Linked DNA regions of Caenorhabditis elegans. The protein of the gene in region 2 interacts with the protein of the main gene of each other region in a pairwise test. Each region holds a gene or a part of one and is shown on either strand. Other genes may lie near its edges.

Region 1 (16,104 bases), on a different chromosome or scaffold from region 2:
GAGGAGAACAACAAATTATTCGATTATTTGAATAAGAAAAATATCAAAATCCGAAATTCACAACGTGTCGAGAATACCGTCGCAGACTCCAGTGATGATGAAATTGATCCATATAAAGCAGCAGTTACAGCCGAAGGACGCCAACGAGATGATAGTGATGATGACAGTACTGATGAAGATTATGATCTTGATAAGGATATAAAAAAGAAAAAGGAGGATAAGGAGTCGTCAGAAGGAACTGGATCAGAGCCAGACGATGAATATGATTCTGGATCAGAACAAGATTCCAGTGGAACTGGAGAGTCTGAGCCGGATTCTGAGCAAGATGTTCCGTCGAAGCGAAGAAAGGGTGAACCTAAAGAGAAGAGGGAAAAGAAGGAGAAAAGAGAAAAGAAGGAAGGCAAGAAAGGAAAGAAAGACAAAGATCCAAACGCTCCGAAACGTGCTACAAGTGCCTACATGCAATGGTTCCTTGCTAGTCGAAATGAACTGAAGGAGGATGGTGATTCTGTTGCTGATGTGGCCAAGAAAGGTGGAGCCAAATGGAAAACGATGAGCTCGGATGATAAAAAGGTTCGTTGATTATAGTCTACAATTTATCCTCTAAAATAATTTTAATTTACAGAAATGGGAGGAAAAAGCAGAAGAAGATAAGTCTCGATACGAGAAAGAAATGAAGGAATACAGAAAGAATGGACCACCATCTTCCTCGTCAAAACCATCTTCATCAAAAACATCAAAGAAAAGTTCTGGACCATCTTCATCCAAGGCCATTTCGAAAGAGTATATCAGTGATTCAGATGATTCGGACGATGAGGAGCCGAAGAAAAAAGAGAAGAAAGCCGCTCCAAAAGAAGAATCAGAAGAGAGTAATAATGGCTCCGATGGATCTGATGAATCGGATGATTCAGATTAAATTATTAATTTTGTTTCTTTTAAACTCGTGTACTATCGTTTAAATATTCATGTATCTCAAGTTGTCTGAATATCTCATTCTGTTACATTCATTAATTTTTTGATTGCACTTTTAACTTTAATACACTTATCTTTTATTATTATTTTTTGATGATTGATCGATTTACTGGTTCAAACCCATACGTGATCTTTGATTATTTTCCGATTCTTATGAAATTTAAATTATTCGATTTCAGATGTCCATTTTGTCCGACTTTTTGAAGCATCCCAACTTGCTTCAAGTGACGGACGGTGGACCACTGGTCGATGGAACCAACGGGGTCAAAGGGACAAGAGTGGTGGGAAGTGTCTCGAATGCGAGAGGTGAGCTTATTTTATTGTTGAATGACTTTAAATTTTGGAAGTAATTTTATTGAATCAGAAATGAAACTGATTTAAAATTAAAAAGTACTCATTTTAGAATTGTTAAAAACGAAGTAGCGCCAGTTATTAGAAAGTTGAAAATTAATTTTCAAAAATATAAATTCTAACCTTTAATTACTATTCTCAATTTCAGAATTGCGCGGTGCTGATTCTTTGGTCGGAGACGTTGAGCGTGCAATTATTCAAGTACAAGAGACTGAGTTGCTCGCCGAAGTCTGCAATACCGTTTTCGACGTTATGAAGCAAAACGGAGAAGTTATCGTCTTCTCACAAGATCTCACAACTGCTCAGCGTAAACTTCGTATTGCCGGATTCCGTGTAACAGAGGTTGCCGCTGAATTTCCGGTCCGTGGTATCAAATTGGTGAACTTTGGAGAAAAGGTTGCGCTGGATCTTGGAGTTGTTGCTGATGAAGACCTAATCGATGAGGACGGGCTTTTGCAAGAGGAAGATTTCGAGAAACCAACTGGTGATCAACTGAAAGCTGGAGGATGTGGACCAGACGATCCAAATAAGAAGAAGCGTGCCTGCAAGAACTGCTCTTGTGGTCTTGCTGAGCAGGAGGAATTGGAAAAAATGGGACAAATTGCTGCTGAACCTAAGAGCAGTTGTGGAAATGTAAGATATAGCTGTGGAAAATGAAAATATTTATTTTTGGAATTACTAATTTTTTCAGTGTTCCCTTGGAGATGCATTCCGATGCTCCACCTGCCCATATCTCGGACAACCACCATTCAAGCCAGGCGAGACTGTCAAAATCTCGACGGTCGACGACTTCTAATGCATTCCAGCTTTTTCTCACCCCCTCTTGACACGTGGTTTTCATCTCCCCTAATTTCAAAAACACCATCTTTTCCACACAACCAACCAGCTGAACACCATTTTTTCCTATTCTTGTCTGTTACTTTTTCTATTGTCTATATTTCATTTTTCGTTATTACTTTGCGCGTAGAGTTCTTCTTGTGCTATCTTGTGTTGAAGAAAATAAAAGCTCATCTAGTTTCCAAAAAAATTGAAATTGGAAGATATGTCAAAACCGGGGTCTGAACAGAGTCGGGAATGTTTGTTTTTCAGGTTTCTTCGACGAAAACGTCGAACAAATTTTCAGATTTCGAAAAAAAGGTATATTTAGTTAAGTTTTTTTTATCAAAATTTATAGATTAGCTTTATATTTTTTTGTATACTGAAATTTAAATTAGAATTCGTGTTGTGCGCAGCAAATTTGACACGCAAATATCTCGTAGCGAAAACTACAGTAACTCTTTGAACGACTACTGTACTTAGCGTTGGTGTCGATTTACAGAAATCATTTATCAATTGATGATATTAAGGAATCATGAGAATGCCTAACGCTTTGGCCCGGGAATATCTCGTAGCGAAGGAACCTAAATCTCTCTTCGCCGCATGTTCTCTCCGCTGCCGCTATTTTCGCGCCAGAAAGTAGGCATTCTTATGAATTGATGGTTTCTTAATATCATAATAAAAGAAAACACAAAATTGGCAAACAATACGAAACAAATTAAAGAATAATGAATATCTTCGTCATAATTCGTACCGAAATTTATTTCGAAAATTAGTCCCGTAAATCGACACCAGCGCTACAGTAGACATTTTAAGAGTTACTGTAGTTTTCGCTACGAGATATTTTTGTGAAAAATATGTTTCGTTATACGCATTTTCAGAATTTTGTGTTACCGGACAAGACGGAATCAGCTTGAAAATTGACGAAACTAATTGAACACGTTCGAATTTACTTGCTTTTCGCCAAATACCTAACGAGAGCCATGGTTCGGGGGCGGAGCATTTTCAATTAACCGTAGAGCGAGTTTCCACGTCGCTTTCAATAGAGGCTGTTTTCCCATAATACATTGAGTTTCGAATTAATTTTGTTGCAAAAAATTTGGAAAAAAGTTTGTTACAGTAATCTTAGTTTTCCCTCAAAAAACATCCTTTCTCATTTTTAAATAATGAATAAAAGAATTCTTAAGAATAGAGTAAGCTGTAACAGAAACTGCTAGAAATTTAGATGAAATCTCTATTACATAATCAATTGTAGAGGGTCGCGTTAGAGGTCCACAGGGGTTACAATCTCATATCACAATTCAGAATCCAGTTATCATACATCTGATGACGTCATCATTCATAAACGAGAATAATGTCACGTGGTCTAATATCTTTTTCCACTCGTTTCTCCGTCCTTCTTTCGATGTGAAGGGACAAGTTCTATGACATGCCAAATCGGCACGTAGTTCTCCCGCTCCGTCACTGTCTCTTCGTTTCTCTGCGTTTCTGGGAAACCACGTGGCTATAATTTTGTGTTGTTGGTGTATTCTGTATTCTGTATACTGGAGAGTTTCGTTGATGTTAAAATAGTGGCTGATTGAAAACGCGCGAGGGCATGTGTATGTGTCAATATTCGTGGAAGTATTGTGCGGCAAATTGAAACAGAGAGCTGAGCGTATTTCATTGTGCCTGCGTCTTTCATGTTCAAGATGATGTCTCTGTTGCTCCAGTCTCCTGAGTCGATGCATCTCTCGTTTTTTGGATGCACTCGACCACACACACACACACTTACCCAATATACGCTCACACACACACACACACACGCACAACTCTAACATATTAGGGGCATAGGTTAACGTTTATTTATTTCTAAGTTTCAGAACCCTTTTCTAATTTTCTTTTTACTTCTGAATTATGATTTTCTGTTTGTTAATATGACTAGGTTCCGGAAATTCGGCAAGTGCCGAACGTAATATTTTTTTACCAAAAAAACATTTGCTACATTAGAAATTAGTTTTTTGTTCTTTTTTTGAGTTGTTTCTATAAAATATTCCAATTATTTCGGATATATTATCGAATTGTCAAAATTGTCTGATTGCCTGCCAGGTACGGTATATAATGCGCGTACGATATAATGTACTGGTTGTGCAGGTGCGAATCAAGATAGTTTTACGTAGTTGAGAGAATCATGGTTCTTATTAATACAACCTACTGTCTATTTTTGTTGAGAAAAATTGCAAACTGAAACTATAATTGTTTTGATGTAAAACAAAATAGTCATGAAATCTGTGAAAATATACGTCCTCCCGGGAGCGACCCCCGCTGCTTGTTATCATTATTATCAGATAATGGCCATTCTGTTTGTGTTATCAATCGTATTCTTCCATCCATTCTCCCTCCGTTTCGTCGTTTTCTTTTCACAAATATGTCTCGTTTTCTCCCCCTATTTCACACCAACACTGTATATCGTTGTGACTGTCGCTGGTCGACGATTCGATATATGATTTTTCCTATCTTTTTCGTCCCCCATCCTCTCCGATGTTGGTTCTCTGAAACCCTGTATCGATTGACTTTTGTCCCTGTCACACCCACAAACTGTTCAATACTATCTAGGTCGTACAAAGTTGAATTCAAATCGGATTATCGTACTCTAAGTAGTTTTGCCAAAACGCATAATTTTGTTTAACTGAACTGACCAGTGTCAAAACTTTTTGCGGGGACAAGTTTCAAAAATATTTTTCCATATTTAAAATAAATAAATAAATAAACTCGACTTAATGAAATGCACCCTATCTGTTTTAATTTTCGCACCTGTAAAAAAAACTTCTGAAATAGCTTTCTAATATCTTAAATAAAATTTTGCAATTCCATAAATAGTGAACCTATCTTTAACGCCTTTTGCAGCGGTTTTCCAAAACAATGCACAAAAAAAATAATTCAACAACAAGAGACCTAGACACTCTTTTAGTCGGTCACGTGTTGTAACAACTGATCCTCCATCGCTCTCCCCGTCCGTCCGTCCTTCGTCGTTTCTTCCTTGCTTATTGTCATCGCTCTCACACACAATTTTCCCACATTTCTCCACTTCCTTTTTTCCTAAAAAAGTTCCTCAGGGCCAAGCTATAAGTTTTTGCAAAGTTTACGAAAATGTGTAGATTTTAGTTGAGCTCACACCTTGAAGCACATAATTCTGAAAATTTGGCAATATGGGATTTTTGTTCGTGATTGGATGAATTGTAATTCCAAATAATCAATTGTACATTGTTACCTAGTAAATTTACTTTCATCCTCTATAATTCTTCATTTCACTGTTTCTACTTTTCAAAAGATTTCAATATTTTCAGACAAAAATGTCGCGCGGGCAGATTATACACAGTGGGCACTTTATGTGTTCGAATCCCCACGACGATCTAGTACAAGATGAAGATGAAGAAGATGTTGAAGTGGATGTAGTTGAAGATGATGATAAATCAATGGAAGCATCATCATCAGTTCATCATAAAAATAAGGCTCTCGACGAGAAACCGGTGACGTTTTACAAGTTTGGAGTTGGTAAAACACAGTCGATCGCGATTGATGTATCACTGAATAAGTTGAACAAATGTATCAAAGTTGCTTATAAGTAAGTTTATCTTCAATAAAAATTGATGGCATTGTTAGTTTGTAGCAAAATGACAACTCCAAAATGGAAGGATTTCAAAGGATTACGTCTTCATTGGAAGCAGAGGGTACGATTGAATAATGTTATTTGGAGAGCATATTATATTGAATGTAAGTTCCCTCTTTAATTTTATCAGCTATTGTTCAAAATCTTGTCTTACAGTTCGAAAAAAGCAGCCAGAAAAGCCGAAAAAACCATTCTGCTACTTTGCCGTACCCGACGATGACACAACACATCAAAAAATCGAGGGATCGATTGTCGAAGGAATGTATTGGAAAAGAAAAATGGAAGGTGTGTGTGCACAATATAAACGATGGAGAATTCGTTCGAAACATAATTTGGTCACGGATAAGGGAGGAATGGTGGCGACGTGCTCTTCGACAAGCGTCAGCAGTATGACGGGAGAATTGAAACGGAAAAGGGTATGATTTTTCTCGAAGCTTTTTTATACACCAAATGAAAGTGGAAGATTACCCAGACGCGAAACCTTTCGAGTTTTGCGTCAAAACTACGGTACATGGTCTCGACACGACAAATTCTTGTTTAATACATTAAGGTGTGTGCCTTCAAAGAGTACTGTAATTTCAAACTCTTGTTGCTGCATAATCGTCTGTTTCTAGTAGCGTCGGCAGATATTTGGTTTTATACAATCGAAAAAAAAACAATTTTTTCGTGTTCATTTTTTCAAAAAAAAAATCACTGCATTTTATAAAAAATTAGTTCCACTTTGAAGAAATTCCACACAATAATCTTCTATTTTCTGTAATTTCTTTTTTTTATATTTGAAAAATTAATTTAAACTTCGAAATATTTAAATGAAAAAAGGAAAAAGCGACAAGAAACATCCGAAAACAGACGAAATCGAAACAAAAAATTAGAAACAAAATTTTAATAAATATCGAAGACATTTTTTTAAAGAAACACACCGTTCCAAAAGAAACAATTGAAAGCAAGTTGCGAAGCTATGAGCCACCTGTAAAACTTCAAAGAAGTCAGACGCCAAAACACACGATTTCTGATGAATTTGCATGGGATTTTGATGACTTGGATAATGTTTTCACTGATGATTTTCTAAATTCTCTGAGTGAACCTTACATGTTTCCGGATCCAAGAGATGTTTGTGAGTTTTTTATTTTATTTTTAACTTTTGATTATGAAAGAAACTAAACATATTATGTTAGTTTTATTTGAATTTTGTAGCAGTTTAGAAACTATTTCATTTGATGGAACAAAATATGTGTTAAAATATTTTCAGTAAATCTATTAATCTTTATAAATACTTCATGCTTTATATGTCTAATCGTCAAAAACTTGTTTCAGATAGTGGAAATAACGCTGATATCATGCAGCCAGGACTCCTCCCACTACAGCCAACAATCGAGGATATCATGATGTCATTAGGCGACGATATGCCAGATTCTCCGCCATTCCACAATGATCGGGACACAATGAGAACTCCGACGAATGATCAGCCATCAATATCAGCACAACAAATTCCTCAAATGAGAAGATCTGCTTCATCTTCGGCGTCTTTGCATCAAATGCAAGTTGCTCAGGCTCAGGCTCAATCCATATCTCAAATATCTCAACCATCTCAACAACTGCAACATCAAATTCAAATTCAACAACCTGTTGCGGCTCGTCCACATGAGTTTATGGCTTCGTCGATTATGATGGACTATCGATTAATGCCGACACGACAATCATCTGCAATTACTTCACAAATGCTTATGCTCAGTCAATCCGCATCGACATTGTCTTCACAACCACAGTATGCCACATCAACACACTATAGCACGAATAACTCATTTCTCCCAATTCGAAATACAATGACAAACCAACATCATTTGGGCCATACGAGTCAGCATTCACCTTGGAATAAGCAACAACAAAGTAACTTCTTGGTTAGTTTGAAAAATGCATGAACATTTAGACAGTTTCTCGAAATTCAATAACTTCAGGTTTCCCTACCACATCAATCCCACGTCGAACGAATTCTGAATAATCAACCACCACTTGTTCCGCCTCCATCCAGATCTAATTTGCTGCCGACTCAAAATGATCCATATCTTCCTCAATTTCTTCAATCCACTCAACCTACTCCACAACCCCAATCTCATGATCCAATGATGGCTCCATCGAGATCATGGTGGCTGGATAGTCCGTTGACTGCAAGTGTTCAATCACCATTATCAGTAGCAACACCATTGCCTCTTGCCAATCAAACGGGACCGCAGACTCCATTGGGTCAGCTTATTGGGAGTGCGGACAACGGTTTTTTATTCGGTGGAAATAATACACCGGGTGGATTTAAAATGAGTGGGACTACCAGTGGTGTTCCAACTTTATCACAAAGATTAGAACAACCTCCAATTAGTCGAACTTCAACAATTTTTGGAAATGTCGAGAATAAACCTGAAAGAATATTCACTTCATTAACATCACAGAATACACCAACACCATCTCCTCTGGATATTTCTAGCCTTTCTCGCTTACGCACATCATCTCTCAATGAATCATGGAAAATGAGTCATATAGTAGAAGGATCGCCTACTTATCAAGCTTTTGCTGCGTCGGTTACCACGAAGCCGTCAATATTAGAAAGTCCTTCAACATCTGGAGATATTAGTGGTCCCGCGTCAGTTCCAGTACAAGCTTCACAGCATCCACCGAAGATCATCACACCACCGTCGGCGTCGTCAAAACGAAAAGAGCAAGAAGCAGCGATGGCGCCATTAGTGAACAGGCAGCAGTCTTGTGATGTCAATCTACTCAATGGAAAAATGGCTGTGAAGGTCGAGGAGAAATCCGGAAGGCATTGTAAGCATATTTTTTAATGTTTCTTCACCAAAGTTATGTTATCTCCAACTGAGTTTAAATTAAGTAAATTTCAGACTTACCAACCACACCCACCGAATTGAAGGAAGTAACAAAAGAAGAACCACTGTTGATGAGTGCACCATCAAGTGTCAAATCAATGCGACGACAAGCTCCAGATTCCACATTGCACCCAGAAGAACGCAAAAGAATATTGCATTTACACGCTGAGCAAAACCGAAGAAGTGCACTGAAAGATGGATTCGACCAGCTTATGGATATTGTAAGTTTTGGTTTTTCTCATGAAATCTCCAATTCAAAATTTTATTTTTTTTCCAGATACCCGATTTGTATTCTGGCGGTGTTAAGCCAACGAATGCTGTCGTTCTAGCCAAGTCAGCGGATCATATTCGAAGATTGCAGGCCGAAAAATGGGATAAAACACAGAAGATCGACGAGGCCAAAGCGAAAATCGAAAAACTGAATCAGAAAATAACGTAAGATAGTTTTTTGTTGAAATATTTTAAAACTGTATCAATTCAGATCCTTACAATCAAATCTTCCCCAATCGAGTGCACCATCCAGTTCATCACAGGTGGACTCGAAAACTTCACTGGAAACATTTTTCGATAGATATGTCAAAGAAGGCGCGAAAAAGAATTGGAGATTTTGGGTGGTAAGTTATCTAGCAGAAAAGTTGAAATTTTTTTAAAATCTATTGCTGAAAAATCGAAATATTTCTCCACCAAGGTGCACATCCTTTTGGCACTAAAAAAGAATTTATCACGTCGAGGCCCGTATTTTTGACAAAGCAACCGCAAAAATTTTGAATTACTATTGAGACAAATTAATACAACTTCATAATAGATGTCCCAAATGCTGAAACCAATCTGTGTCACACAAACAAACTCTTTCGCATCGTCTGTAGCAGGAGACTCGTCGTCAAGAAATGAAGTAGCCGCCTCGTGTTCTGATTGGCTGAACAAAAATTGGAAAGCCACAGAACTTCGGCCGCTTGCGAGTACACTTTTGGTAAATATAATATAGATACTCATTAATAATCAATTTATAAATTTCAGGTCTCTCTTGCAACCAACTCGAGCATTCTCGCCGAGCCGGACACTCTTCCCGATTATGTCATGCAACAACTCAAAAATCCATTTTGAACTGCTCATTATAGAATCATGTTTATTGTTTTTAACATACGATTTTTCTGCGTAGATTTGTTTAGATTTTTTGAAATATCTCAGTCCCTTTCATGTTGCCATAACTTTTTATCCAGGATTCTAATCATTTAGATTCAATCACGGGTTTTTTTCCCACTAGCAGCCACCACAGAAACAGCCCTCGTTTATATGTTCGGGTTACCTTTATATTACAGTTTGCTCAATTTCTCATGTATTAAATGTACATTGTCTCTACCTCTTCTGGTAATTTTAAAAAGAAAGAATTATACATTTTAAATTTATCACTCTCGACGGTCTTCATTTTCAAACACATCGAATAATACCGAAGAAAAAATTTTGTAGCAATAGAAAGGAAATTTACAAAAAAAAATCACGAAAAAAGTTGATTCGAAACAACCTTCTTCCTTTAAAAAGTAAAAATTAATTAGAACTTTACTAAATTTATTTTTAAAAAAATTAATGAACGTTTTTCAAAATACAAATAAGTGTCTGAAGATTACTGTAGTTTCTAGCTCTTTGCTGCATTGGTTTTCTTCATTTTTTATAGTTTTTTTTTCGTTTCTTCGCACCTTTTTTGGAAAATCTGAACTTAAGAATAATGAAAGGTGCAAAAATGTTGTGGCAACATAAAATCCAAGAAAATTTTGAAACAATGTGGATCTAGGAACTACAGTACACCATAAAGCGTAAAAAATTGGAGTCTACATTTCAATTTCAAAAGTTTTGACTCGAAATAAAAAAAAATGTCCAAAACGTTTCTAAAAGTTTGTATTATGATATTTAGTTATTTAAACATCATAGGAAAATAGACGTGTATTTTACTAATTTCTCCACAGACCGTACTCCAACATATAAAAAACAAATAAAGCATTTCAAGGAACTTGATATCTAGTGAACGTCTTCTTATTTCGAGTCATTCTATGCCCAGTTGCAATAATTGAAATTGTGTCAGGTGAAAAGTAAATAGTGATACTCTCATATGGATCAATTCTACTGTACACTTGTATTTTCTCTCCATCAAGAAATTCTTCATTGAAGGCAGAACAAAATTCCGCTCTTAAAATTTTAGTATTTGAAATCAGAAAATCCATATAGTCTTACTCTTGCTCTCGAAATGTTTGATCCCATGAACGAAATTCAATTCCTCTCATTATCATAAAAGAATTATTTAATTTCGCAGACCATAGCAAAGCCTTTTGAAATTCATTTACTCCGTGTCCATTGACCCATTTCTAAAATAATATATCAGTGTTAATATACAATTTAAAAATATAAATTACCTTAATGAAATCATTAATGCCATTAGCAGTTATGTTAACACAATGGAATCCAAATTTTTTTGCTTTTAAATTTAGAAATTGCTCGTCTGTGAATGCAGAGCGACACCAAAAATAAAAGGTTCCGGCATTCTTTATCTAGAAATGTTTGTTTTAAAAAATTTATTTTAAATTTTAATCAGATATTTTGAGATTGAGTGCATTTATGAAAGTCATTTGAGGATTTTCGTATGCGAAATACCAAAAATCCGGTTTTCAATGACTGGTGTACCTGTGAAAAATCCAGAAAATCCGTTGGAATTGTGAATGTGTCTTTATTCGAATAAAGAGTTTTCAATTCAAGATAATCCAATTTTTCTGGGCATTTTTCAAGCCACCATGAATACGTGGCAATATCCGTTGCATTAATTCGAATTGTTTTGCAACGCGCTAAGCTTCTGACTGTACTACTTTTCATTGGATATTTGTTCTGTAAATTATTAATAGTATTCACTAGGTTACACAAATAATATTACCATGTCAACATTGATAGATTGAAACTCATAATTGCAAACTTTCATCCACTTTTCTGCGAATTTGACAGATTGTTCATAATAGTTACAGGATTTCCATATTAATGATCGGACAGATTTTTGTTTAAATCCAAAATATTTAAACCATCGAATGTGAACATCTTCCTCAACTTGCCAGAAGACAACTTCAAATCGATAGCCGGAAAATTGACTGAATTTAACACGGACAACAATATTTTCCTGAAAAAATAATCTAAACTCTGAAAAATGTCTGTCCTGTAGATTTTGCAAAAAAAATTGTTCAATAGCATTTCAGCTGATGATTGAGAGAAACGCAATTAACACTGTGCAAACCCGGATTTCATTATTGTATACAATTAGAATAGGTATTCAAGCTTGTGGATGTGACGGGCCGTTGACAAAATTTTTTGAACCAAACGAAAAAATCTAATTTCTTCAGAAACTCAAAAAAAACGTATAAAATTCGCATTCTCGCTTCTAAAATTAACAAGTCTGAAAATATATTATTTTTTCGGTCCGAAAGTCCCCATAATAACAAAAAAGTGTTGCTGCCACTACAAGGAGTCTTGAAGTTTTCATACAATTTTTTTCATTTTCCAGTATAACAAAACTTACAAAATCTTTTGTAGAAGTAGAATGAAGGCTTCTCTCATTGTCACTTATTTCAATTTCATAAACATACAGAGGAGTTATGGAAACTAGTTTGTGATCCGATTTCGAACAAATTGAAAGTTGACATCTTGAACAATAATCCAAATATTTTAAAACTTCAATTTTACAATCTTCATTTAGAAATTTCCAGTATTTAAATCCTCCAATATAAATGCTTAATTCATTTATTTCTTTTTTCGAAACTATTCTTCGTTTTGACTGATTCTCAATTTCTTCCATTAATTCCGAGAATTGATTCAGCTGATCTTGAATATTTAGAGCTAACATTTTCCACTCTGAAATACATACGTTTTTGTATTTTGAACGTTAACTGAGAATCTTTAAATATTTTCTTTCTTGTTTTGAAAGTAAAAACAAACAATAATAACGCAAAAAAGAGTGAAAATAAGGAAAGTCTTCAGCTAAAAGGATACGCGTTTCTATGGTTTTCATGAAAAATTCAGATGCTGTTGCAATATTTTGAAATTTCCTAGATTTATGCGAAGGCTGCCAAATAGACACAAAACTGCCTACCTACTTGCCTAGAACACCTACAGCGCCTTGGAAACTATAAACACCCTGTTTCCAAGCTTTAAATTGGTAATAACTTGTTAAATTTTGTATTTCAGTCAAAAATTCCTATTACTCAGTTTTGCCAATTTTTGAGTACTTTATATTCTAGTTTAAGACAGAGTGTACAATACTATTTGATATATTTTTGAAAGCTCCATATTGAAATTTTATTGAAAGTAAACGTGCGGAACAACAATTTGAACTTATTAAAATATTAATTGAAATGAACAGTATTAAAACAAATAACTAAAACTGTCAGAATCCATGACCAAACACCTCTTGCTCATGCTCCAAATTCTCTATGTCCTCCGAATTTTTCGAACCCAGATGGTTATTCAAACATCTCCAGTCCGTTCGATCTATCAAAACCTTCGTATCCACCACGTTTTCCAAATCCGCGAAATTCTCCTCCTCCACATGGCCCACGAAGTCCTCCACTTCTACTGTTGTTTAGGTTTCTCGCCTTTTTTTTACAATTCAAGGTTTTTGCAATTCAAGGTTTCAATACGGTGTCCGCTCTTCCACGCTCAAAATATTTTCAATTCTAAATTGGAAAAATATGAATGTACCTTTAAATACTACAGTAACCCGCTCCTCGTTAACGTAATTATACTCTTTGGTTTGCGGATTTCTGTCTGGAAATGGTTGTACCTCACATGATGTTTGAAAAATGAAGTTCATCGTCTCAATGCATGAGGATTTACACGCCAAAATTACTACTCACTGCAGAATATGCCTAGGTCCGACAAGCTGGTGGTGGAATAATGTTCACAACAAACAAGACACGGGAGGCAAATGAACAAGTGCTCAAAAAGGATTTTGAGGAGGTAACAATGATTATGTAGGTTCTTGCTTAGTTATTCATTAGACTATTGTTAATAAGATACATCAAAGTTTATTTAGGCGCTTTCATGATAAAAGTTTAATTATTTGATCTTCAATATTGGATTGTAATTGTTCAGATACATGTCAACAGGACGGAATGACTTTGACTGTCTTTTTTGGCACAATTCGTCGATTGAAGGTTTTGATTTCAATGTATCGAGTGACAAGGACAAATACTGAATTTTCAACACAAAATTCAATGGTTTGACAGAATCGCAAAGTGGTGACCTGATTCATGGAAATGGCTGAAATAAATTAATTTTTGAAAATAAAGTTTTTTTTTGAAAACATACGTTTTCTATAGTCGGAGAGGTTTTCCAAAAGACCACATGTCAAATCGTTTATTGGAAATTGGATCCGTAAGAATCGGATAATTTCAGAAGTTTCAGAAGCATTGAATGGTTGGACATTCTGTAATTGTACGGAATTTGATTGTAAAATTAGTAACGTTTCTCATTATAAATTGAAAACTCAATTAAGCCACTAATATCGGTTACCTGGAAATTGGGAAGCTGCTCGTATTCTGGCATACTTGGAGGAGAAATGAACGAATTTTTGACGGAATTTCGATTATTTGTATTCCACGGCATTGCCACTACACATTTCCTAATTTCTATAGAAGGTCATATGAATAGCTTGAATTGAAACAAGTTATGATGTGAATGTAAATTTATAAATGACTGGAGCTGAAAGTGTTCTTTTCTCGTTTGATCTCTGAAATACGTGGAATTTTACACTCAAAATTGTGTGTGACGTCAGACTTCCAAAAGCGAGAGTATATATTTGACATCCGCTTCCAGACAACGGTGAAGATTCGGCTGCCAGAGATAATGCTTTCAGAAAGACGCTCTAGAAAACTGAAAATAGTTCAGAAAAAGTTGAGGACGTTCCGTTCTGCGGAATTGAAGACTTCTTTTTTTTTATTGAATGACCACTCTAGTTGAAATACTATTCTACTAACATTTCAACTTAAAAATCAATAGACGTCTAGCAATGTTGTTGGAAGTGAATATGCAGAAGGTTACTGTAATATTTTGAAAAGTGTCTAGATGCTCATCACATTATTGAGAGATTCCAATGTATATATATAATGTACATTCTATTTATATGAAAAATAAGTTTATTTTTTAACGTTTATTATAAAAAACAGTTTTTAAAATTATTCAAAAAAGTACATGAAAATAAGTAGTGGAATGAATTGAGAACATTGAATACTACTTTTGAAAGAATAATTATAAAATAAGAATGAAAAATGAGATAATTAACATCGACCAAATCTGCGTTCAAATGGATGTTGTCTCTTGAATCCATGATGTCCGAATCCATGACCAAATCCATGATGATGACCACCGAATCCATGGAATGCTCCAAATGGATGATGATGTCTATGGAAATTGAATCCATGATGATCCATTCCTCGTCTTCCAAATGGTCTTCCGAATCCTCCAGTTGGACCTTCAAATTCTTCTCTTCCACAAGGTGTTCCAAATGATCCTAATGGATGTCTTTTGAATTCTTCTCCTTCACGACATGGTCTTCTTCCAATTGGTGATGCTGATCTTGCACGTCTTCCACCAAAACAGTGACGTCTTTTGAATTCTGGATGTCCATGGGATTCTTGGAATCTTTTCCACATGAGCTTCTTCATTTGATGTCTCTTGTGATGATCATGGAAATTTGAACGACTTCTGCTTCGAGATCTTGAACGATCAAATCCACGACTTCTGGATCTATCACGTCTTCCACAATGACGACGATGTGGAGCTACTTCAGGAGCATCAGCAATAATGACATCTTCATCTCCAGAATCAGAAGAATCAGATGAAGAATCCGATGAATCAGAATCAGCAATCACAAAAATAGAAGCAGAATCTCTGTTAGCCATCTTTTTCAGAACTCTCTGAGCATTCTGAGACATTGAAATCAAATTTCCTTTGTCATTTTTCCAGAAAACAACATTGAAATTGAGTCCGAGTTCTCCCAATTTCAACTCTAATTTTTCAATTAGTTGTTGCAAATTGTAATATTCAATTGAAATTTGTTCAGTTGCTCCAGGAGCAAAATAAAGTTTGAAAAGAATTGAATTGGTTGCAGTTGTAGTTTTCATTTTTCAGAATGATTTTCTCTATTCTAAATTTCCAATTTTTATACCTCCATTCTTAAGCTCCGCCTACCAGCTGTCCCTGAACTATTTCGAAATTGTTTAATGTGTCTGTGTCTATCGAAATAATACGAAAATGTACTGTCATCACTGTCTGCGTCTCGAATTGGCGCTGATCTTTTGATATTCATTGATGAATGAGACTAGAGACATGGATGTATTGCACAAACCACAGAAAGAGCACAAAGTCTTTGAATTTCAGATGATCTGAAATACATCGACATCAATAGAGATTTAC
Region 2 (16,512 bases):
TTAATAACCTAAAATTAACCACCAAAAACAAAAATTAAATAAAACTATACTCCGCTTGGATGTTCTGTTAAAACCTGAGGAAAAAGTGAGACAAGTAGGTTGTGAAAAAAACGCAGAAAAATGAGAAATAGAAACAAAAAGCAATGACGGAAAGAATCGTATCATACGATGAATCATTTTATTCCTGCAATTTGTTTTCTTTTCAATATTGAAAAGTGAAAATCCTGGAAAAAACAGGGCAAAAACAAATTTGAAACGAGATTTAAGAAATTTGTACTAAAAATATCTGGAATTAAGTCGTAGGTATAAAATCGTTTGCCTGCCTATCAGCGCGCCTAAAAATAGACGGTAGTCAGGTGTAGGTGTAAAAAAATTTAGTTCAATATTTTGATTAAAAAATTCACATTATCAAATTCTTTTATCAAAAATCAAATTCCATAATTTTCAAATCAAATAAAATCTTTTTCAACTTATTTTTAGAACTTTTGAAACAGAACATTTTTTGCATGAAATTTTGTTTTTTTTTTTGGCAATATTCAAAACTCCAGAAAACATACTAACACGTGAAAGCATAAGGGAGAAGCTCCCGAAACCCGAAAAACGGAGACTTAGACGTTGAAAAAGAGCCATTTGGCACATGGAAACGAGGGAGAAAAATGAGATGATGAACGGAGCGAAGGGAGAAAAGGAGTTTTGAGATTCTTCTGCCAAGGCAATTTGAGACGATGATGTACTGGCTAAGGAGAAGCCGCTGCCGGAAATGGGATAGCATTGGACCCTTTGCCACTTTATTTTTGGAAGGAATTGAAGAATTGGGAGGGAGAATGGAGGAATAAAGTCGAGAAGAATGCAGATGTTGTTTCATGGGAGGGGATGAAAAACGAAGAAGGATCAAGATGGAACATGTGATAGGAACCAAACTCAAGCTTCGTAAGAGATGTAAAGTTTTTAGTATCTGGGCGCTGGTGTTGATTCGATTTGAGTACAATTTCGAGCGAGACATGAAGCTTAGGTTTAGACTAGCTTATAACAATATTTAAACCAAAAATGCCCAATTTTTACTACCTCAATTTTAAGTGAGAATTTTGTTTGGTCACGGAACTTAAAGCGCAGAAGATTGATAAAATTGGATTCCCGCAGACTTTTAAATATTTTTTAGATTGTAGAAAGCTATTCTGGAAGTGTTTAGAAACTATTTTTTGAAAAACTGTTTTTAAACGCCTCCTTGTGATGTTACAATATTTTCAAAAATTCCAATAAGCTTCAGGGTGCTTTAATGTTTAAGACATCTTCAAAACCTATGCAAAATTTTCAAAAAATATATAAAAAAATTACGGGGTTTCAAATTAGTGTTAAAATTAAATTGTTTCCTGAACATCTTCAAGCTTCACAGGAATTTTCAAAAATATTGTGTTTAGAGCCAACTGAAAATATTAAATTCGAAATAATTGAAAAAATATACTAATCTTGTCCTGAGACAAATTCACAGTAGAAACAAAAAGATTTTAAATGTGTGCAGTTAAAGCTGATAATTTTTGCATTCGACTCTAAAATTTAAATATTATTTTATCAATTTTCATGCAAAAATAAGTAATCATTTATATAAATTATGATTTCTTTGAAAAATCCGAATTAAAAAAAACATTTAAATGTCTACCATATTAACGATGAGTCAGTGAATTAGATTCAACAAATAAATGAGGAATAAACGAACAAAATTTCGGTTTCAAAGATGAAATTCATCAAGACATTGCTCATAAAAAATGAATGCGTTTTGGAGAGATGAATGAGGAAATTGATTGATATGTTTGCAGGGGCAAAGAAATTCAAAAATTTCGCCGTTAAATTTTAATTTGGAAACACTTTGTTCTTAAAACACCTTTTCAACTGTTCTGGAATAAGAACAATAGATGTTCAAATGCCGCAAGTTGTAAAGTAGAATAATAAATGCCAAGAATAGTGGAAAGCATAGTTAAATAGGTTGCTAGTCAAGTGGTTAGAAAATGGACACATTTTGTGTCTTGTTTCCGGGGCAACCTTCCCCAACCTTCCCCCTACTAAACCAAAATTCCTTGAGACAACTGAGAAGCTTCTTTTTCCTTGAGACTCGGGTTACCAACCAGGTCGTGGGGTTATATATCAACAGAAAAAAATTGTCTCGCGCGTAACTCCCGCGTCTTCCGCATATAATACTAATGCCGCGCGAGAAGTGTCTGCGTCTCCAAGGCCCAGCTGACTGACAAAAAGACAAGAAAGTGGCGGCGGAGAAGCTTTGAAGATGGCAGAAGCCAAGAAGTAGTAGTATTGTCTTCACTAGACCACATTATATTAAAAAAATGTGTCTGAAATCATTGAATTGGCATTTTGTCTACGCCCGCTCTTTGACCCAGGGCTAAAATTGAATTATGGGGTGGGGGTACAATTCGGGGTTCCATTAAGGCAGTCAATATGTGTGTGTCGCAGGTTTTGAAAACGAAAAGAGCCGTGGGAATATGACGACTAATGAAAGAGGATATTTTGGTGAGAAGTAAGGGGTCCCGAAGGGGGTAGAAATGAAGTGGGAAACCAGGTGTGAAGCTCTTGATGGATTTTTGTGCAAATATTTGGAGCAAAAATTTTGTGAGAAACTATAAATTAAGTGATTAGTTTGTGGGACTTTTTCTAGTGTAATATTTTAAAACCAATTTCGCATATAATTTTTAATTATACAACTTTTTTTCCAGAAGATTAAAAATTTTAATTTCGCGTCAAATATATTTGGAAATTAGAAATTTTAAATTTGCGCCGAATGTATTTTGAGAGTTAAGTTATTGAAAAAATCCAATTTTAATCTCTCTAATCTCTTTAAAGTTTGCAGAAATTTCCGAACTTGAAAAAAAAGTCTTAAAAATCTTGAAAACGTTTTTGGTTCTCTAAAAATCAACTAAAATACTAAAAACCTCGGATTCAGCAATAAAAATGTGATGACATAAAATGGAAATTTCATAGGTTCAGAGTTGGCTGTTAAAATTGTTCAAAAATTACATAGTAGATTAGGTGAAATAAAGAAAATATTTTATTTAAATCCAAAGTGCAAAACAGAAAGTACTTATGTTTGAAGCAGTACAAAATAAAATAACACAAAAGGGAAACAACATTCATTTTTTAACAAATGGTAACAAAGGAATGTTTTGCTTACCAGTTATCAACATGTATTGTCAACTGGCAGCTGACAAATTGACAATATAAATGTGTTCAGAACAATTACCATGAAGAAAAGGGTGTTAAAGTTATTCAAAATAAAATTCTAAAATTAACTTTTAAAGATTATATCTTGGCAACCGTTTGTGGAAAACTGCAAGTATTTTTAGTATTTTTGTAGTTGAAAATTTTTCAAACGCTACTTATAATAGTGGTTGAGATGTACATAGATAAAGTTGTGGTACGACAAAAAAGCATAACATCTTTTTTACGTTCTGTAGGCACACAAATGCCTGCCTGGAGCCTACACCAACGTTCATGTGAGCCTATTTCGTTCCAAACATTCAACAAATAAGTTAAAATAAAAATGCCTAAATCTACAAAAAATGCAGGGAATTAGTGGTAGACAAACACATAGGAAGGCAGGCATGAAGTAGGCACGTAGGCATTAAAAAGAGACTGCTTTCAGTTAACTTGTGAACACATGAACTTTGTTCAGCCATGAGATAGACGTAGGCGCATGTGAAGAGTAAAAATTCTGTGACTCTTTTATATACTGCCTAAGGTTTCGTAGGTTTTGTAGTAGCCCACCTATCTAAAAAAGTTGAAATGACAAATCGGCAAGTATTTATATCTCAAAAAGCGGCAACAAGAAACCTAAAAAAACGAAAAACTTTTGTGTCAAGTGGTAGTTGATATTTGCTTTTGTAGCAAGCGCAAAAGTTCCAAAGTATTAACTTCGAAATGCGGTAGTCTATTTGTGAAATGAAATGCAACACTTTCTTATTCAAGCGAAGTGAGCAAGAGAAAGAAAGAGAACAACCAGTTCACCGGGTAGATGTAATCTCGGAGCAGTTGTCAGGGAGCAGGTGACAAAGTGTTCGGGCTCCCGGCGGCGGCAAAATTTGAGAGGGGGGGGGGGAATAAGAGAAATTGAAATCTATCGCGGACTGGGGGCAGAGATATCATCTAGCCTATGCAACAATTTTGATTGGTATCTATCAGCTGAGAAGATGAAAATGAAGGGTGAAGCTTCTTGTTTTTTGGCAGAGGGCCAATAAAATGTTGAATATAGACAGAGAGAAACACACAATGCTGATGATGATGATGATGATGATGATGACTTCTTATTTGTTCATGTGTGTTTACTGCGCAAATAAAAGGTCTACAATAATCATGCAGAAAATAAGAATGAATTTCAGAATTTTTTCACTAGTTGGAACTATGTGAAAAAAATTTGAAATTTTTGTGAAACCTTTTTCCAATATTTTCATAGAACAAATTTTGGCGGGAAATTCAAATTTTCTGAGAAAAAACTTTGGGTGGAAATTCAAATTTTTTGAGAAAAATTTCGATTATTTTGTCAAACTTTGTCAACTTTAACATAATTTGGCAAGTACGGTGATTTTTCAGAATAAATCAAAAAACAACACAATTTTTGAGAGAGCTTCAGAAATATCGAAAAATCTGAAAAATCCTTTAAAATTTACAAAAGAAATCATGATTTTTTATGAAAAAAATGCTTATCGAATTGTTTTCAAAATACCAGAGAATTTGGAAGTTCTTTGTTTCCAGATTTTCATAAAAGTTTTTCCGCTATAGTTAAAAAATATATTTGAAAATCAAAACTAAAGTTAGAATATTCTTGGAATTGTTCCAAATTACAAGATCAAAACACACTGTAAACTCCAACAAAGAAACCGAATTCATGGATTTCTGAAACAGTTATATTGGATATTGGGGAGCGAAACGTGTGATTAGAATACCATTAATTATGATATGTAGAAGAAAGACACAAAGAAAGAACTGGAACCGCGTCTCAGTTTCTCCAGAATAAGATTGCAATTAGAGGGAAATAACGGGGGCGGCATTGTTGTAAAAAGGAATGTTTCGACAAACGGAATACAACATTTTCAGAAATAATGTTTGTAACATTTGAGATATTTGTAAAGATCGTAAGTTTCATCGTAAATTTCAGACCAACAAATGCACATATTTTCCCCAAATTTTATATTCGTAATATGTATTTAAACATTTTTTGCCTTAAAAAAATGTTATGCACTACGTTTTGCACTACGTATGAATAAACAGAAACTAAAAATAAAAAATTGAAAATTAAAGGCAATTGCCGAAATTGCCGATCGCCGGAAGTTCACAAAACCGGAAATTGTCGAAAATGCCAATTGCCGGAAATTTTTAAAACCGGCAATTGCCGGTATTGTCGATTACCAAAAATCAAAATTGCCGGAAATATACTTTTTTTGTGGGTTCAGGAGCCTGAACATGCATTTTGATGAACAATTTTCTATTTTCGACCTCAAAATGATTAAATCCTTTAAGGATCGACCGTTTTCTTTCAAAAATGACTAACTGAATACTAAAAACAAGGTGAAATTTGTTCAATTTCCGAAATATAATAAGGTTAGAAAATTGCCGAAAATTTCCAAAACGGCAATTGCCGAAATTCGTCGCGCCTACTGTTTTGAAATATGCTTTTCTTGTTTTTTTTTTTTAAATCAGAAGAAACCGACAACTTTTACTGAAACGGTGCCATAATTGAACAAAATTAGAACAAACCTAATAGTAAATCTACCTCTAACAAAAACTAAAGATACCTGCTCTGTCTGTTCCCTCCTCCTGGCATCCCGGCAGCTCAAACAATGCCAAAGGTAACCGGTCTCGAGACAAGAGATTAGGTAGAAGGTAGAGAATTTCATACTTTTTAATTGTTTATTGAACAGTAGTAAAGTTGAAAAGGCGAGGAACAAAAAAAAGTAAAAGCTTTGGGATGTGAGATCGGGTGGAGAGGAACGAACAAAAATAAAGATTTTCAAGTGGCTAAAAAACTAAAGTGGTCCACTGTACTGACAGGGTTGATAAGGTTGGCCGAGCGATGAGGAAAGGGAATTCGAGAGACCGTCCATTAATTTGAGCTTGTCGTTTGATGACGTGGCAGATGTGGAGAATGCAGCTTGGGCTCTGGAAAAATGTAAATTATAATTTTTCTTATCACAACTTCTGATGATTCTATTATAGATCTTCTATTAGGTTGAACCGGAAGTCTTTGTGACTGGGTTTGCTTTTCCACTGCTAGCCGCAGTTGCACTTTGGTGTTCCCTTGTTGCTAGGGTATAATAAAGAGTAAAGGAACTTCATTGAAAAAAACAACCCATTCCCTTCTCTCTGGCCTATGTTCAGTTAGCCGGCGATGTAAGTACATACATAGTGTTATCCACATCCGACAAGGCTTGATGTACGCCTTTCTCTCTCATACCACGATGAAGAATTTGAGGGGTTTCCTTGAGAATGTTTGTCATACACATGCCAATCAATATAATATCATACACAATTGGTTCCAACGCTTCGACAAGGACGATTTTTCTCTCGAGGACCATGAAACCCCATAAATCGGATTTGGATGCGTTGAAGAAAGCTGTGGCAATGGATCCTTTCCAAACCACCTGTGAGCTGTCAACCGCACTTGGGTCTCATCAAACCAACATTGTACAGGGCTTGGCAACTCTCGGAATAAAGAAAATTAGGGGTGGATTCATACCTCACACCATGACACAAGACAATATCGATTTTTTAGTGGATGGTTCCTTTTCCCTCCTCATTTTCCACGAGGGCGATTGATTGTTGGACCCACTCATCACTGGAGACGAGAAGTGGGTCCTCTACAATAACAACCACAGGCGTGCCCAGTGGATTGGAGTAGGAGAAACCCCACAGGATGCTGTCAAACCCGACTATCACCCCAAAAAAGCTTTGCTCTCAGTGTGGTGGGGAGTGTACGGCCCCACCTACTGGGAACTGCTACCTGATAGCAAAATAATTATTGGGGGCCTCTACATTATCTAACCATGGAACCTGAAAAAAGTGATCGATGGTTCACCCCAGATGGACAAGCAACTCTATTTTCAACAAAACAACGCTTGTCCCTACGTCTTGAAACAAGTATTGTAGGAACTGGGTAGGCGTGGATGGATGGTTCTCCGTCACCCACCGTATTCTCCAGGCATTTTCCCATCTGAATACTGGTCGTTTTCAGATTTGACTCGCGTCCTCGGAGGGAGAACCTTCAATACCCATGGAAGTGTCGAAATGACACTCAAGCATTATTTCGACTTGCGCCTGGAAGGGTTCTATAAGCAGGGCATTCATAAGTTCCGCACACGTTGGCAGTATTGATGATAATGATAGCAAATAAAATTTATCCTATAGTTTCTCTTGCTTTGAGAAATAAACGATTGAAAAAGTCACAAAGACTTCCGGTTCAACCTAATCAAATAGAAATTTGCTAAAATTTTATTGAAACATCTAAAACGTTTAATACTGATTTTATTTCTAGAGGTTAAAACTATCCAGAAAGTTTTAGAAACTCCTTTAAAAATTTTGAGAAGTTTCAAAAAGTAATTCTGAACATTTCAAAACTTTTTTGAACGTTCTAAAAATTTTCAGACATTTCCAGAATTTTTCAAAATTGTTACCTAAAGTTTCAAAAACTTTATCGAGCATTTCAAAGATTTTCAGAACCATTTTTTAATTTTCAGAATTTTCGAAAAAGTTGAACTATTTTACTGAACATTTCAAAATTTCGAAATATTTTTTTAAAATTAAAAAAAAACCGTTCCATAATTTTTCAAAAGTTTTAACAACTTTTATAAACTTTTAAGACTTTTTCTGTCGAAATTTATCCGTAAAACTCACGTTGGTAGAGGTGCCAAATTTGCAGCAGTCGAAAATCGACTAGTCGCCGTCGTTGGAGACATTGGAATCGTTTGAAACTGAAACTGATCCTATTTACTCAGATGATTGTCTGTTCAATTGTTCAAATTACTTACCTGTGGTTTAATCTGCCAGTTGAACGTGGTTTGATTGTTTCTGGAGTAATATGGATTCTGTTGCCACGCGCCACCGTATCCATAGAAAGAGGATGACGTTACTGCAGAGTCGTCTAGCTGAAAATGGAAAATTTGTTTTTTCACTTTCGAATGATTAGATTAGCCAACTTTAAAATTTTTTTACAAAATTTCAGATTTAACAAAAAAATTGTTGATATATTTTTTCATTCTTAATTATGTTCCCTAGTTATCTGTACCCCGAGTTTCCCCCATTTCTCAATAATATTACAAAAAGTTGAGACAAGCGGAGTACCCCCGCCTCCAATTGTTTATGACATAAGAGGCAAGATGATGTCTGGCAAGAAGGGGCGAAAGAAAACTGACACTGTTAAACATTCTCGTGTGGTATAAACAATTGGCTCCTGATGCCTGCCTTCTGCTTACCTGACTGCTGCTGCTCTGCAACAACGTCTGTGGAAACGTGTTCTGAAGTGAGCCAAGTGGATCCAAACTTTGCGCCGTGACCTTCGTGGTGCCCTGCCCGTTGTCAATCACATAGTTTCGTTCGCGTTTCCTCCATTTGGCACGTCGATTCTTGAACCAAACCTACAAAATGATGTTAATGTCTATTTGTGAAATTCAATTAGCACATCATAGTGTATGTGTGTGTGTGTGCTCCCCCTTATTTTCTCATTATGTACGACTTTTGTTATTCTTGCTCTTTTTCTATACGCTCCTCCGCAATACGGTAATTGACAGATGGTCATCATACATTCCACGGATGGTTTTATGGTCGGAATTGAATGAATGGATTTATATAACAAATTAGCGCATTTACTACCTTTCATGTTCCAAAAATTTATATCAGATGAGAAAACAGGCATGCAATTTTTGCCTGCCTGGTGCCTACTTTAATTCTCAACTGTGAAAAATCACTCTTCTAGGTTCATAATACAGTAACTAGATGTAAGGCCTGATTGTAGGTACCTACACATCCCAGAATCTCCCAGACAACTACAAAAAACTTACTCTCACTCGAGGCTCGGTCAAGCTGATCCAGACGGCGATTTCTTCTCGACAAGCCATGTCGGGATAGCGATTTCGGGAGAACCAGTTTTCCAATTCGGTTAGCTGAAATAAATTATGGTTATGAATGAAGTATAGTTGTGGAAAGCACAGAAATACCTGCCTACCTACTTTCATAGTGACTTGCACCTACCTTGTTCTTTCTGCCAATTTATGAACTTTAAATCGTTAATAAGACGAAAATTCAATAATTGAGCTCATGACAGAACGTAAACTGGCATGAAATCAGGCAGGCAGGGGCCTTCATGGTAGGTAGGCATACCTATCATGAACCCAAGATAGCACTGGGAAATGAAAAACTTAAAATTTGCTGTTTTTCAAAATAAATTAATAAATTAAAATTTATTTTAATTTTATTTTTCCGTTCAAAAAAAGTCAAATCTGACCTGATGGCTCGTAAAATGTGTCCTCTGCCTTCTCGGTTTCTGTATTTTCCCTCCATTCGTACTTCCATTTCCAGTTGAATCTGTTGGGCTCGATGTGTCGAGATGATTGTCATCCTGCTCTTGTTTCACGTCCAGTGACAGCAGCTCTACTATAAAAAAGCTATATATTTTAATCATTTTTATTGGAACTTGAAACACTTACACTTGGGAAGTTTTGTGGTAATATCCGTAGGGGGTAGTGGAATCGAGTAGTTGAATGCATATGGATTGTGGGTTAATGGTGCGAGGGAAGATGAAATTGAGTGCTCGGGGAGCAGAGAGTGATGATCCAATTGGCCAACACATACCAGAGGGTTTGAGAATCTGAAATAAAAGAAATGGAAGGTGCTGGAATGGTTAGGACTGTGAGATAACAGGCATCTAGTAGAGGGGTAGTGGTAGAAGCTCTTGATTTTTCTAAATTTGTACTAGCCTTATTGAAATATAGGAGTTTTTTCCAACTTTAAGAAGTTTTTGGTAGCCTACACAGCCTACACGAGGTGCCAAAGCAGATCGGTTGATGCAGGATGTCTTAATCTTACAACTTTGGTAGTTCATCAATTTATACTTGGTTTAAAATGTATGTTATCATGAAATGTGTGTAGAAAGAGAAAAACACATATTTTGTTTTTAATCAAAGTTTTGGTAAAACAAAAATGAAGTCAGATATTAGCTGCCAAAGTTGAGCAATGACCGATCGATGCACCATGTTTTTAAAACTTTGATAACTGAAATTATTTCTTGTATGTATTTGGTTTCTAATTAAAAAACATTTATTTCGAAGTTTCAATACAAGTTACACTATAAAATAATAGGAAGGCTAGCAAAAAAGATATTGTTAGATTTCATAACTTCATGATATTTTAACTAGTAAGACAGTATATGTACGTATGAACTAACGAAGACTGGATCTGGTCGATGCACCATGTCTTCAAAAAAGTTGATGGAAAAGAATAAATCTAGAATTTTGGTTCTCATGGTAGCGAAAATTTGGTAAAACCAATGTGAAATTAGATGTTCTGACAGTTTTACAACCGTCGTTCTTTACCAATTCATGTCTAGATTGAATTTGGGTTCTATACAATTCTGATTATTTACAAAATATGTGTTGTTTGTTTGCCTATACTTTTGTGGATGAAATTTTACACATTAGGAGAACCAAGTTATGAGCTACCAAAGTTGTGAGGCATTCAAAACATGGTGCATCGACATCGCGATCAATGTTTTACTGTTAATTTTAAGGGAAAACTGTAGAGGCTACCGATTTTTGTAAATTTTAAATGTAAATAGCAAGGACCACTAGACAAATTCAATTGTAATACTAGGACACCTTTAACAATGTATTTAAATACCTATGTCACTTTAAAGGTACATTTCCAGAAGAGCAAGGAGCTTACGGTAATTGAAGGAAAATGAGAGAGAAAAAGTTGGAAATTTAGAGAAAACTTAGCGGGAGACAAAAAATAAAACAAACCGATTATGCGACTGCTGCTGCTGGTGTATAGCAGTCAGTGTGGCCGTATTGTCATCCATGTGTTGATCTTTTGCCGGAGGGCGCCTCAATCCCCAAGGATTATTACCGTCTTACGCAAAGTCAGTGATCGGATTAATTGAAGGCAAAGAATTTGATCCTAGACGAGACTCTTCGAAGACAACTCTTCTTCTTCGTGTGCTCTTCTCCTCCCCCCTCTTCAGAATGCTCCGCCGACTACTGTAGCCCCGCCCAGTGTGCCACCCACATATGGTAAATGGCAGCCGACTGACTGCAAAAGAGAGAGTATGATGATGCATCAAAATGGAGGGATTAGAGTCATACCGACAAGAAAAAGAAGGGAAAGAAGGAAAAGATGTTTTGAAATGAAACGGGCTACGGTGTCTAATGGGTAAAAATGATGAAGTAGCGCGCGAAAGAATTGGAAAATATCAGAGATTGAAGAAAAAGATAATCGGTTTGAACGGTAGTTTTATGGATCAGTGAGCAGGGATTTATGTGAGAAAATGATAGTTTTTTGTATGCCTGCGCCTGCCTCGTGCCTACATGCGTACCTACAGAGCACAACACTTTTCCAACAGGTTAAGGAACAGAAGTTTTTGGTGGGTGTTGTGTAATGTTTTAAAGGTGGCTTTTGAAATTTTGAGAGTGCTATTGATTTTTAAAACACTTAAAAATATCAAAACTACATCGGGGGTGTTTTTTTTGTTTCAGAACGTTTTAATAAATACTTATTGTGAAATTTCGATTGTTTTGATTAAAACTTGCAAAACTTGGAAACCTAAGAAATTGGGTGTATGTAAAATTCTCATGAAATTTTTAACTCTATATACTAAAAACATTTGTGTTCTCACTATACAAACTCGGGTTTACAGAAGAGCATACGTATATCTTCAGTTGTGCTGACCGATATAGTCGTAAAACATAACATGAAATTTTCGAGGTCAACCGGTCGTTCACAGAGTTGAATTTCACATCTACCCTTATCATCACCAGATGTTATCTTTTTTGAAGAGCAATTGCGCAAACTGTTTACAAAAAATTTCGTAAATACAGAATTTTTAGAACGGGGTTGAAGGTTTTATGAAATTATTAGAAAATGTTTTTAAAGCTTTCTTATTTGAATGATAGTTTTATTGAGGCTTAAAGGCGGAGTAGCACCAATGGGGAAAGTGTTAAAAACTACCCCTATGGTTTCAAAATGACCGAATAGCATTTTAAAACTTATCATATTTTTGGAAAATTTTCTATTTACTGTCAAAAACTGACAATTACTCAGTTTTTTCCACTTGTAATTTGGAAGTCAACCAAAAAAATTGTTTTTCTTATATTTTTTATACTGTAATTTTGTTTTAATTATTTGTATTAAAACATTGTCGGGGGTCGGAACATGTGATATTTCTTTAGATTTTCTCAAAAGCTTATATTTTTCAAAATTTTGCCAATTTGCAAAAACTTTGACCGGAAATTTTGAAAAATCTAAAATTTATTTGAATGTTTTATGTTGATATTGGATGGTTTTGGATTGTTATAAGTCATTATAACCACCTATAATCTAAAATTGATTTCACATAAATCGAAGGAAAGTTTGAATACTTTAGACATTAGGGTTAATTATTTGATAAACATTTGAAAGAAAAATTATGAACGTTGCTTATGATAGGTTATTTTTAAAAAATTCCATGAACATGTTTTTTGAGAGTTTAAGTTTTACAGCAGTTTTGCCAGTTATTTAAATTAAAGCCTAATCTGCATAAGTGTATATTTTTCAGTGGAACATGGTATTTAACATCTGTATTATCTCAAGAGAAGTCTCAAATAGATTTAAATGAATGAAATCATTTCCAGCATTTATTCTTCCATAAAATCGAATGTTTAAGTTTTCACTAGGTCTCGATATCACAGCATCACCTACAATTATTTTTTAACCACTTCCAGCCAAATTCTCACGGTCAACGTGTTCCCACTTGGGTGTAACTTCTCATTTCACTTCCAATCAATAACATTCAAAAATTCCACCTGTCTGTGAACATGTTATTGTTTGAATATCAAATACCATCTGCCCTTTCAAGATATTTATGACAATAAAACAAAAGAGCCGATCAAGAACAATGTATTATTCAGTTTCAGAATTACAGAAAAAAGGACAAAACACAAAAAGAAATAAAGTTTTAAAAAAGGTGGAAAAAGTTGCTAAAGGTGAGAAATGTGCTCTTCACCAATATATCCCAATTTCCGTTCAATTTCCCGCATTTATGTCATTTGTCAGAGAGTGAGAGCGGGGAAAGTATTGCAAGAAAATTGTTATCAAATTCAATCATCTCTCAGGAGAAAACCGCTTAACCGCGTTAATTTGTCACTTTCTTCCGATTGCGTAACTTGTCCCATATGCCGACGTCGTTCTCTCCCATCTGCCAAAACACATCAAAAAGTGTCATCGAGCGGAAGAGCAAAGGAGGACAAAAAAGGAGGAAACAGGGCATTTTTGGAGGGTTGTGAATTTGGATTGAGTATTTATTTTTGGAGATTTTTAGCTGGAAGTTTGCAAGTTTTCCGCAAGAACTCCAACTTTGCTAGCCCACGTGGTGTCTCATTTCGGCTTGATCTCCGTAGATCTAAAAAAAATGCGGGAGAAGAGACGCAGAATTCTCAACTGATTTCGCATGGTTGAGAACGTGCTGAAGTTATATTTTTTGGCCATTCCCCCAAAAACGCTACGATGTTGTAGCAATTTTCACTTTTCCCCATTTCACTAAAAAACGCTACGATACTGTAGCACCAGCCGTTCGCACGCGCTGAAGAGCGTGCTCCGAATGGCGAACTCAAAATTAATATCAGTTTCTAAAATTTCTAAGCCTCTCTCTGCATATGGAACGCTCTTTTCCAGTTTTCCGGAAGTTTTCGAGCAACAGAATTTTTACATAACTAAGTTTTCAGCAGTAATTAATTATTTATTTATTTATTTATTTATTTATTTATTTATTTATTTATTTATTTATTTATTTATTTATTTATTTATTTATTTATTTATTTATTTATTTATTTATTTATTTATTTATTTATTTATTTATTTATTTATTTATTTATTTATTTATTTATTTATTTATTTATTTATTTATTCATTTATTTATTTATTTATTTATTTATTTATTTATTTATTTATTTATTTATTCATTTATTTATTTATTTATTTATTTATTTATTTATTTATTTATTTATTTATTTATTTATTCATCATTCATCTAATGGTCTAACTTTGGAAATTCATCTAATGGTCTAACTTTGGAAATTCATCTAATTGTCTAACTTTGGAAATTCATCTAATGGTCTAACTTTGGAAATTCATCTAATGGTCTAACTTTGGAAATTCATCTAATGGTCTAACTTTGGAAATTCATCTAATTGTCTAACTTTGGAAATTCATCTAATGGTCTAACTTTGGAAATTCATCTAATGGTCTAACTTTGGAATTTCATCTAATGGTCTAACTTTGGAAATTCATCTAATGGTCTAACTTTGGAAATTCATCTAATGGTCTAACTTTGGAAATTCATCTAATGGTCTAACTTTGGAAATTCATCTAATTGTCTAACTTTGGAAATTCATCTAATGGTCTAACTTTGGAAATTCATCTAATGGTCTAACTTTGGAAATTCATCTAATTGTCTAACTTTGGAAATTCATCTAATGGTCTAACTTTGGAAATTCATCTAATGGTCTAACTTTGGAAATTCATCTAATTGTCTAACTTTGGAAATTCATCTAATGGTCTAACTTTGGAATTTCATCTAATGGTCTAACTTTGGAAATTCATCTAATGGTCTAACTTTGGAAATTCATCTAATGGTCTAACTTTGGAAATTCATCTAATGGTCTAACACACATGAGATATAACAAAACAGTCAACTAAATACTTGTTAATCATTAAAAAACCCTTATTTTTTGATTTTAAGATTTTTGATCAGACACCTTGTTTTGGAGTTACAGCCAAAAACATGAAAAATTAGGATTTTTTGAAAATTGGACCAAGCTCACTTCTATCGATTGTAACTCATAAACGTGAGGAGATCCAACGTTGCATTGAACTGATAAATTGTAGCTTATAATGTGCACGTTAATGTTGTAATATATTATCAGGTTGTCCCATAAGTTTTTGTACTTTTTTTCAAATATTTTTCCAAAACTTCTAGAAAGTTTTAAAATTTTTTCATCGTAGGTCGTGTCAAGGTCGGGTCGTCCCCTTTCAGAAAAGATTCATTTCATCCATTTCTACTTTGCCACGATGACAATCATCAAACTTGAACGTCGAGACGTTAGATTGCTTCTTCTTTATGAATTTCGTCTTGGTCATTCAGCAATGGAAGCGGAACGAAACATATGCGGTGCGATGGGTGAGGGAGCACTCTCTTATAATACAGCAAAGAGTTGGTTTCAAAAGTTCAAGAACGGCGACTTCAGTCTCGAAGAAATAGAACGTTCTGGGCGACCGGTAGAGTTAAATGAAGAAGACCTAGTGAAGCTGGTGGAGGAAGAGCCTCGTCTTAGTCTTCGTGAAATGGAAGAGAAGCTTGAGTGTTGTCATAGCACAATTGCACGTCACTTGGGTCGCCTTGGTTTTACTTCAAAACTTGGCACTTGGGTGCCTCATGAACTTTCGGCATCACAGAAGCTCACTCGGGTCAACGTTTGTACTCAACTTCTAACTTTTCGTCGAAAGTTCGATTGGCTGAACAATCTGGTTACTGGAGATGAGAAGTGGGTGCTCTATGTTAACCATTCCAGAAAACGTCAATGGCTTCCGATCGGTGAGAAAGGAATACCGACGCCAAAGCCTGATCTTCACCCAAAAAAGATTATGATCTGTGTCTGGTGGGGTGTTCAAGGACCCGTGCACTGGGAATTGTTGCCAACTAATAAAACTATCACTGCTGATTACTATTGTGCCCAATTGGACCGAGTTGCAGAAAAGATCAACGGAAAATATGAAAAACTATATTTTCTTCACGATAATGCTATGCCTCATGTCGCCAAGAAGACTTTCCAAAAGCTGCAAGATCTTGGTTGGACTGTTTTACCGCATCCACCATATTCTCCAGATCTTGCACCAACCGACTACCATTTGTTCTTGTCTCTCAGTGACTACATGCGCGACAAGCAATTCGACGACGAAGAGCATCTCAAAACTGAACTCTCCACTTTCTTCTCATCGCGTTCGCCGGATTTCTTCTCCCGTGGCATCATGATGTTACCTAGTAAATGGCAACAAGTGGTGGACACTAATGGTGAATACTTGTGTGAATAGTACTACTTGTCGCTTGAGAGAAATAAATTTTTTTCAAAAAAAAAATAGTACAAAAACTTATGGGACAACCTGATACTTTTGTATATCTCTCATGGTTTCAATGTTAGCACCGCTCAAAAATAAAAAAGGCAATTTTGCAAGCGTTTTAGGCACTTTCAAGAGATGTGGTGCTACCAATAAGCT

What was found.
Region 1: the proteins of unc-30 (region 2) and mml-1 interact in a two-hybrid assay, tested with the Caenorhabditis elegans proteins (one large-scale study listed by BioGRID).

What each region holds. Positions count from the first base shown.
Region 1 is NC_003281.10:7,364,093-7,380,196, reverse strand, and holds mml-1 (Protein WBSCR14 homolog), read left to right. Parts: upstream 1-5,465; 5' UTR 5,466-5,471; coding exon 5,472-5,743; intron 5,744-5,788; coding exon 5,789-5,892; exon of another isoform or gene 5,893-5,944; coding exon 5,945-6,204; intron 6,205-6,700; coding exon 6,701-6,902; intron 6,903-7,102; coding exon 7,103-7,686; intron 7,687-7,743; coding exon 7,744-8,602; intron 8,603-8,676; coding exon 8,677-8,882; intron 8,883-8,938; coding exon 8,939-9,096; intron 9,097-9,142; coding exon 9,143-9,275; coding exon of another isoform or gene 9,276-9,311; exon of another isoform or gene 9,312-9,466; coding exon 9,467-9,631; exon of another isoform or gene 9,632-9,678; coding exon 9,679-9,765; 3' UTR 9,766-10,066; downstream 10,067-16,104. Other genes in the region: hmg-4 (FACT complex subunit SSRP1-A), read left to right, coding at 1-573, 626-916; T20B12.7 (Anamorsin homolog), read left to right, coding at 1,152-1,278, 1,472-1,956, 2,015-2,119; putative F-box protein T20B12.4, read right to left, coding at 10,659-10,842, 10,888-11,018, 11,067-11,201, 11,335-11,532, 11,579-11,815, 12,212-12,487; T20B12.5 (uncharacterized protein), read left to right, coding at 13,085-13,480; F08F8.11 (Uncharacterized protein), read right to left, coding at 13,790-13,950, 13,999-14,116, 14,203-14,295; numr-2 (PB1 domain-containing protein), read right to left, coding at 14,967-15,812. UniProt on the Caenorhabditis elegans protein: Transcription factor that binds to the E box motif 5'-CACGTG-3', probably in a heterodimeric complex with mxl-2.
Region 2 is NC_003282.8:13,113,770-13,130,281, reverse strand, and holds unc-30 (Homeobox protein unc-30), read right to left. Parts: upstream 11,193-16,512; 5' UTR 11,069-11,192; coding exon 11,010-11,068; intron 9,860-11,009; coding exon 9,699-9,859; intron 9,646-9,698; coding exon 9,497-9,645; intron 9,489-9,496; exon of another isoform or gene 9,468-9,488; intron 9,156-9,467; coding exon 9,054-9,155; intron 8,631-9,053; coding exon 8,469-8,630; intron 8,142-8,468; coding exon 8,025-8,141; intron 7,980-8,024; coding exon 7,891-7,979; intron 6,160-7,890; coding exon 6,027-6,159; 3' UTR 5,892-6,026; downstream 1-5,891.